Linked DNA regions of Rattus norvegicus. The protein of the gene in region 1 interacts with the protein of each later gene in a biochemical or structural test. Links are inferred from orthologs where the notes say so. Each region holds a gene or a part of one and is shown in the gene's direction. Other genes may lie near its edges.

The links.
Region 2: the proteins of Apba1 (region 1) and Cntnap4 form a complex in vitro, tested with the Homo sapiens proteins (2 studies listed by BioGRID and IntAct, with this or other methods). The link is inferred for Rattus norvegicus from reciprocal best matches to the Homo sapiens genes APBA1 and CNTNAP4.

Annotation. Positions count from the first base shown.
Region 1 is NC_086019.1:230,926,233-230,930,053, forward strand, and holds part of Apba1 (amyloid-beta A4 precursor protein-binding family A member 1), read left to right. Parts: intron 1-1,819; 5' UTR 1,820-1,890; coding exon 1,891-3,102; intron 3,103-3,821. UniProt on the Homo sapiens protein: Putative function in synaptic vesicle exocytosis by binding to Munc18-1, an essential component of the synaptic vesicle exocytotic machinery. May modulate processing of the amyloid-beta precursor protein (APP) and hence formation of APP-beta.
Region 2 is NC_086037.1:57,732,637-57,736,457, forward strand, and holds part of Cntnap4 (contactin-associated protein-like 4 precursor), read left to right. Parts: intron 1-217; coding exon 218-442; intron 443-1,995; coding exon 1,996-2,129; intron 2,130-2,961; coding exon 2,962-3,049; intron 3,050-3,821. UniProt on the Homo sapiens protein: Presynaptic protein involved in both dopaminergic synaptic transmission and GABAergic system, thereby participating in the structural maturation of inhibitory interneuron synapses.

The DNA of each region.
Region 1 (3,821 bases):
CTGACCAAAAGCAAACTGAGGAGGAAAGGGTTGACATCATCTTACAGTCTAGTCCATCCCTGAGAGAAGTCAATGCAGGTAGGTACACACAGGAAGAGACTGAAGCAGAAACCACAAAGAAGTCCTGTTCACTGTCTTGCTCAGTCCCCTTTATTATACAGCCCAGGTTCACCTGCTTAGCAATGGCATGCCCACAGTGGTCTGGGCTCTCTGACATCAGTTGGCAATCAAGAAAAGGCCTCCCAGACAAGGCAGCAGGCCAATCTGAGCTAGGCAATTCCTTACCCGAGGTTCTGTCTTTCCTGGTGACAGGATTGTGTGAAGTTGACAGCCAGAGCTAAGTATGACAGCTCATTTACCACAGGCTTCTGGAAACCCAAAGAAGCCTGCCTGGTTTCTTTGTTCATTATACTCTGTGTCTGTTTCTATATATGCTGTGTATAGGTTGTGCTTAAAGCACACCCGTGTGTGTGTGTGTGTGTGTGTGTGTGTGTGTGTGTGTGTGTGTGTGCGCTCTCGCGCTTTACCAGTATGAGGGGGTACTGGGGATGCAGTACCAGTAAACACACATTTGGAGGCCAGAGTAGGAGCATGTGCATCTTCCTTGATTATGCTCTGCCATAGTGTTTGACAGTCTCTATCTGAATTGGAAGCTCTCCATTTTGGCTAGGCTAGCCAGCTGGCAAGCTCCCAGGATGCACCTGCACCTCTCTCCCAACGCTGCAATTACAGGCATCCACAGCCATGGCTGGCTTTTTTTACATGCTGGACATCTGAACTCAGGTCCTCTTATTTTCACCGCAATTGCTAGCACACACTAGAGCCATCTTCCCTGTCCTTTAAAAGCTACTTTGTGGTGAGAATTGATTAAGAGTTGGAATCCATCTTCCTCTCTAACTGCAAGTTCCCCACAAATAGGTGGAGACCTCCCTCCCCATACATTCTGAAAATTATCCATGTAGTCTAGCCTCAAATGGCATGGCATTCCCAGAATTCCAGGTTTTAGATCAAGGGCACATGGGGAAAGTACTGGAAGCCACCTACTTGGTATATTTATCAGAACTCTGGTTTCTAAGGGGAAAGTGTTTCTGAGTCAAATGAGTTATAATGAACCCTGCGCTTTATAACTTCCTCCCCTCAGATATTCATGGTGAAACGTTAACTGTCACCCAGCTGGTCCCAAGGTTATTTTAACTAGGGATTCCATTTTTCTCCTGTGTTCACCCTACATGTAAGAAAAGAACTCTCATGTCTTTGTGAAGGTCTAGAAAGCTAAACCCTTGTTGGATATAAGAGAACAAAGAGGCTATTGGTGATTACCAGCCTCCTTGGAACCTTACACTCATGGCAATGGCGTCAAAAAGATTGCAATATCACACACACACACACACACACACACACACACACACACACACACAATTTATTTAAAGAATTGCTACTAAAGTCTCTAGGATCTTAGTTTAGAGATATTTATCTTGGAGCAGATATGTCAATGGGCCCACTCAATTGAGTAGTATTCTATCCATAGACCTCAGAAAATGCAACCAGAAGAATATGCTAAGAACAAAGTGCCCGCAAAGCTTCCTATCTGAAGGTTTGGGAGGGTGAAGGCAATAAGCAATTAAGCAAGTAAATTTGCAATTACAAATTACGATACGTGTGTGAAGAGGGCTGTCAGATTACGCTTAAATTTGCAATCATGCCTTAATTGACCCAGATTCAGAAGGGATCAATAGCAAGTGGTTTTATGTCTGTCTGGATGCTCAGCTCAGAGTTCCATTCTGAACCACTCAGCAGCTCCTCTCCTTGATTCTTCCAGGCCCCGTGAAGCCAAAATGAGCACACAGTGAGCCAGCGCAGCCTCTCGCCAGCCATCCCCCGACGCCCACCATGAACCACTTGGAGGGCTCCGCGGAGGTGGAGGTGGCCGACGAGGCGCCAGGAGGGGAGGTGAACGAGTCCGTGGAGGCCGACCTGGAGCACCCCGAGGTGGAGGAAGAGCAGCAGCCGCAGCCGTCGCCCCCGCCGCCCGCAGGTCACGCACCCGAGGACCACCGCGCGCATCCGGCGCCGCCGCCGCCGCCACCACCGCAGGAGGAGGAGGAGGAGCGCGGCGAGTGCCTGGCTCGCTCGGCCAGCACCGAGAGCGGCTTCCACAACCACACGGACACCGCTGAGGGCGACGTGCTCGCCGCGGCCCGAGACGGCTACGAGGCGGAGCGCGCGCAGGACGCCGACGATGAGAGCGCCTACGCCGTGCAGTACCGGCCCGAGGCCGAGGAGTACACGGAGCAGGCGGAGGCCGAGCACGCCGAGGCGGCGCAGCGGCGCGCGCTGCCCAACCACCTGCACTTCCACTCGCTGGAGCACGAGGAAGCCATGAACGCCGCCTACTCGGGCTATGTCTACACGCACCGGCTCTTCCACCGCGCCGAGGACGAGCCCTACGCCGAGCCCTACGCCGACTACGGCGGCCTCCAGGAGCACGTGTACGAGGAGATCGGGGACGCGCCTGAGCTGGAGGCGCGCGACGGCCTGCGGCTCTATGAGCGGGAGCGCGACGAGGCGGCCGCCTACCGCCAGGAGGCCCTAGGCGCGCGGCTGCACCACTACGACGAGCGCTCCGACGGCGAGTCCGACAGCCCCGAGAAGGAGGCGGAGTTCGCGCCCTACCCGCGCATGGACAGTTATGAGCAGGAAGAGGACATCGACCAGATCGTGGCCGAGGTCAAGCAGAGCATGAGCTCGCAGAGCCTCGACAAGGCGGCCGAAGACATGCCCGAGGCGGAGCAGGACCTGGAGCGCGCCCCGACCCCGGGAGGGGGACACCCCGACAGCCCTGGGCTGCCAGCACCTGCCGGGCAGCAGCAGCGAGTTGTGGGAACCCCGGGAGGCAGCGAGGTTGGTCAGCGGTACAGCAAGGAAAAGAGGGATGCCATCTCGCTGGCCATCAAGGACATCAAGGAGGCCATCGAAGAAGTGAAAACCAGGACCATCCGTTCGCCTTACACCCCCGACGAACCCAAAGAGCCCATCTGGGTCATGCGCCAGGACATTAGCCCCACAAGGGACTGTGACGACCAGAGGCCCGTGGACGGAGATGTAAGTATGTATGGGTTCGGGCTGGCTGGACTGCAGGCCCCTGGGGAGGAGAGACTTGAGCTCTGTGGCCTTGCAAGTCTTTGGGAACTTACTTTATGGGATAAATGGTCTGTGGGGGCGCTATGCACCTCCCCATGATGGTTTCCTCCGGTGTGGCACCAGCAAAGGTGCTAAGAATGGACTACTTATCAGTCCTATAAGGCAGCCCTGTGCTTTCTAAATTGTACCAGAAGGGCTTGTTGAGAGTTGCGTTCTTGGGCACATGGCCCTCTTTGTGCTCATTGAGAAAGTCTGAACTGGGGTCCCACAATTTGTATCAGGTCTACATTTTGTAAGAAGAGGCTTGGTTGGAGAGGGTTTTTGCAAAATGGCGTCTTGTTAGTACAAGATCCGCAAGGGTTCCTGGGAGGAAGGAGTACTCAACATGAAAAAGAAGAGGTGTGTGGAAATGGGGTAGCACAGATAGGCATCAGGATAAAGTTTTAGTCAGAGACCAGCCTGTCCTAGGGTGTGTTTCCCTTCCCCCACCCCCTGGGGAAGGAGAGTAACTCCATCAAAGTCAATCTAAGGGCATTTTTTATTTTCCTGGTTTATCAGCAGTTCAACTAATCACACTTAAAAGACAAAGAATAACAATGTGGAGAGTCTCTCAAGCCCTGTCATGAATAAACAGGGGGCATCAGAGAGACTTAGTAAGACGGTTCTTTGCAGTAGACAGT
Region 2 (3,821 bases), on another chromosome or scaffold:
GAAGTTTGGCTTATGTATAAATTCAGATAAGAGAACACTAATGACTTATATGTCATTCTAACATAAAGGCGACCTCTAAAAGTGCACTGGTTATCTCACCCTGGGACTGTGTCTTCTAGCTGTGTGCTTCATTCTACAACAATGTCCGTCAATGTAACTTAAACAGGCTCCTCGTGTACCTAAAAGAATTTAACGTGCAATCTGCATACCATTTCAGAGATTTCTGCCTATTTTGGATCTGGGTCTTCTGTGATTTACAATTTTCAAGAAAACTATTCTTTAAGTAAGAACTCCAGCTTCCACGCGGCTTCGTTTCATGGTGACATGAAACTGGGCAGAGAGACCGTCAAGTTTAACTTCCGAACTACACGGGCCCCAAGCTTGCTGCTCTATATGAGTTCCTTTTATAAAGAATATCTCTCGGTTATCATTGCCAAAAATGGTGAGTGTGTTTCGGACGAGACAAAAGATTGAGTCTGGACACTGGCACGGTAGAATGCATTTCCTCCCTCTGGGATGTTTGCCTCTAACCTAGAATTAGAGAGGAAACACACGTCTAGGCTTGACTTTGAGTATGATTGCATAGATGAATCCAAAAGGATCCTTTAAGGATGTAAGATGGGTTTATGGCTTTATAGTTTTGGCAGTTTTATATCAGTAATGTAAGATTCGGGTTGCTCCTATATTGTTTGTTTCATATGTTTGTATTATTTTAAACCATTTCTGTGTGTGCATGCACACGCGTGATGCCACAACTGGTGTGGAGTTACAAGAGGTTGTGAACTGCCTGACCTGGGAGCTTGGAGTGGAACTCCTCTGCCAGAGAGCCGTGTGCCCGCTTAACTGCTGAGCCATGTCTCTAGATACTTATATTTTATTTTCGCCAGGAGCTCTTAAGTATTTTGTATGAATATTGATGCAGCTTTGGTGTTCTACTTTAAAATAAAATGTCTCCTTGTGCGCGACACATATTTTCTTCTAATCAAAGATAAAATGCATTCAAGGAGTGTTAATGGACCGGTATTATGCATAAAAATGTCCAGGAGATGACCTCTTGGGCCTAACAGACAATAATGTAGTCATAAGAACTGTTGCTGTATTCATGCAGGGTAATGGTATATGGCTTACAAAATGTGTTTGGTACAGAAATCTTGTCACCGGAAAACGCTTACTACTGTTTTTCTGTGTCTCATGTGTGGATGAAAGATGGATATTTTAGAAATCAATTCTCCAGGTGAGGAAAATAAACTGGCAGAAAAACATCCAACTACATTGGCTCGCTTAAATCAAATGGCCCAAGGGCACTGACTGCCACCATAGGAGTAATTTTGTGTGCCCTCCGTGTCAGCTTCAAGCTCAAAGTTTATCTATACATTGTGGTTAATTCAGGAGGAGTTCTGCAAAACAAATTAATTGAAATGTCTGAAGGCAATTGGATACTATTCATTTGAATAATAAATTTGGCTAAAACTCATTTATTTCACTTTAATTTCCTTCCAAAGTCTACACTCATGGTCCCCTGGAAACAGCTCTGTTTTTGTGTAAAACTACATTTGCTCAAAGTTCCATCCCTCAGTTGTCTTTCCAGGATATGAGAAGGATATTTTTAAAAAGTGAGGTGATGTAGAAAGAATGCTGTAGCAGCATTGAACAGTACATGGCATTGTACCAACACCTCTGGTTGCATTTCTTTTTTGTAGAGATTAGTGTTATGATCTGTACATAATAATGTCAGAATTGACCTATATGATTGACATTAAAGATTTTTTCAGGAGTCAGTTCATGACCAATATGTCTACTCTTGATTTAGAAAATATTGTGATTTCATTAAGGAACTGACTTTCAGAGGTGAGGTTTTGGAGACACGCCCAAATGAGTGCTGGTGAATCTTTCTCTGGAAGTGACTATATTAAAAAAATGGAAAGAACTAGAGTGTTTTATAAGTGGCTTTAAAATGGAATTTTTACTAAAAATGTAACTTCTTTTCTACTTCAGGAAGTTTGCAGATAAGATACAGGCTAAATAAGTATCACGAACCTGATGTCATCAGCTTTGACTTAAAGAGCATGGCCGATGGGCAGCTTCACCATCTAAAGATCAGCAGAGAAGAAGGGATGGTCTTTGTGGAGGTAACAGAGATTCTCCAATGGTCACATGACACCCTGCCATGGGGCACCTAGAGCAGAACGTTAATCATGAATCACAGTAGTAAGGACATCTTCCAGTGGTATTTGATAGACCATAGATAAAACTCGTCAAATGTGGTCAGGTGTTCCCCAACTCCCTCTTTGTGGTTTTGGCAAACCTTTCTGAGGTGTTATTAATATCGGATGCTTAAAATGCCACGCTTGCCTTGCCTGTTTTATTTTGCTCAGAAAGGAAATGATGCCTAGTTTCTCAAAGACCCACTGGTGGGACTATCAGTCCTCATGGGAAACCCACTCACTTTAGATAGGTATAAATGCCGCAATCATCCTACAACAGAAAATAATGACTAAAATATCAGAATAAGTTTGAAGAAAGGATGTGATTCACTGCAAAGTGGAATTACTCATCTTAGCAGCTTTTGCAGAAAACCATTAATGTTTCAGCTCTGCATAGAAGAAAATTTCTTAGCTGCATGACTCCAGTAAAACTCCCAAGCTAAGAAAAATTATTGAAGTGAAAAAATAACACATGTCTTTTTGTTGGCCTTACCAAATTTGGGTTTCTTCTGTAGTGGAGATGGGTCAAACACTAAAGGGAACGATGGTAAAATGAATAGGTATCTAAGCATAGATTAAAAAGCATCCGATTTTGAATTACGTTTTTAAATTTCGCTTTCTTAAGTTATCTTTAAATTTCACTTTCTTAAATTATCATAAAACCCTAATAACAATTTCCTTTTTTTTTCTTTCTTTGCTTCCTCTCATTTTTCTTGCCACAAAACAATGGTTATTTGGATGGCTAATAATTTTATAGATTGATGAGAATACAAGGAGACAAACCTACTTGTCCTCAGGAACAGAATTCAGTGCAGTCAAATCTTTGGTACTGGGGAGGATGCTAGGTAAGTAAAAGAAAGACTCTTTTTCCTACTAATAATGTGTAAGCATGAATCAGAATGCACGCACACACACACACACACACACACACACACACACACACACACACCTTATCATGTCAAAAGGAATATGTTGCCTTATTTTAGTTGGGGAGTAATCAATGCTGGACGTATCTATGAATAGTAGTTATTTCCTTTGACTGAAGACAGCACTGATTTCTGCCACGTGTCAGTCATCATATTCGTGCTAGATAGTTTCATGTCAACTTAAGACAAGCTAAAGTCATCTAAGAGGAAGCAACCTCAATTAAGGAAATGTGTCCATACGATCAGGCTGTCCTCAAGCCTGTAGGGTATTTTCTTAATTAATGATTAATAAGGGAGGTCTCAGCCCATTGTGGGTGGTGCTATCCCTGGGCTAGTGGTCCTGCGCTCTATAAGAAAGCAGGCTGAGCATGGCCTGTGCATCAGTTCCTGCCTCCAGGTTCCTGCCCTGTTTGACTTCCTACCTTCACTGCTTTTGATGATGAACTGTCATATGGAACCGTGAGTGAAATAAATCATTTCCTCCCCAAGTTGCTTTTGGCCATGGTGTGTCATCACAGCAATGGTAGCCCTAACTAAGGCAATAATGAAGCATGTATTTTCCTCCGTCAAACATATCCAGGGAGGAACAGCCATGGATATATCGGTCAGCTGCTACTGTTTGAATGTCACACATCCCTATAGGCTCGTGTGTTTGCGATCTCCAGCTAGTGTTGTTGCTACAACCTTAAGA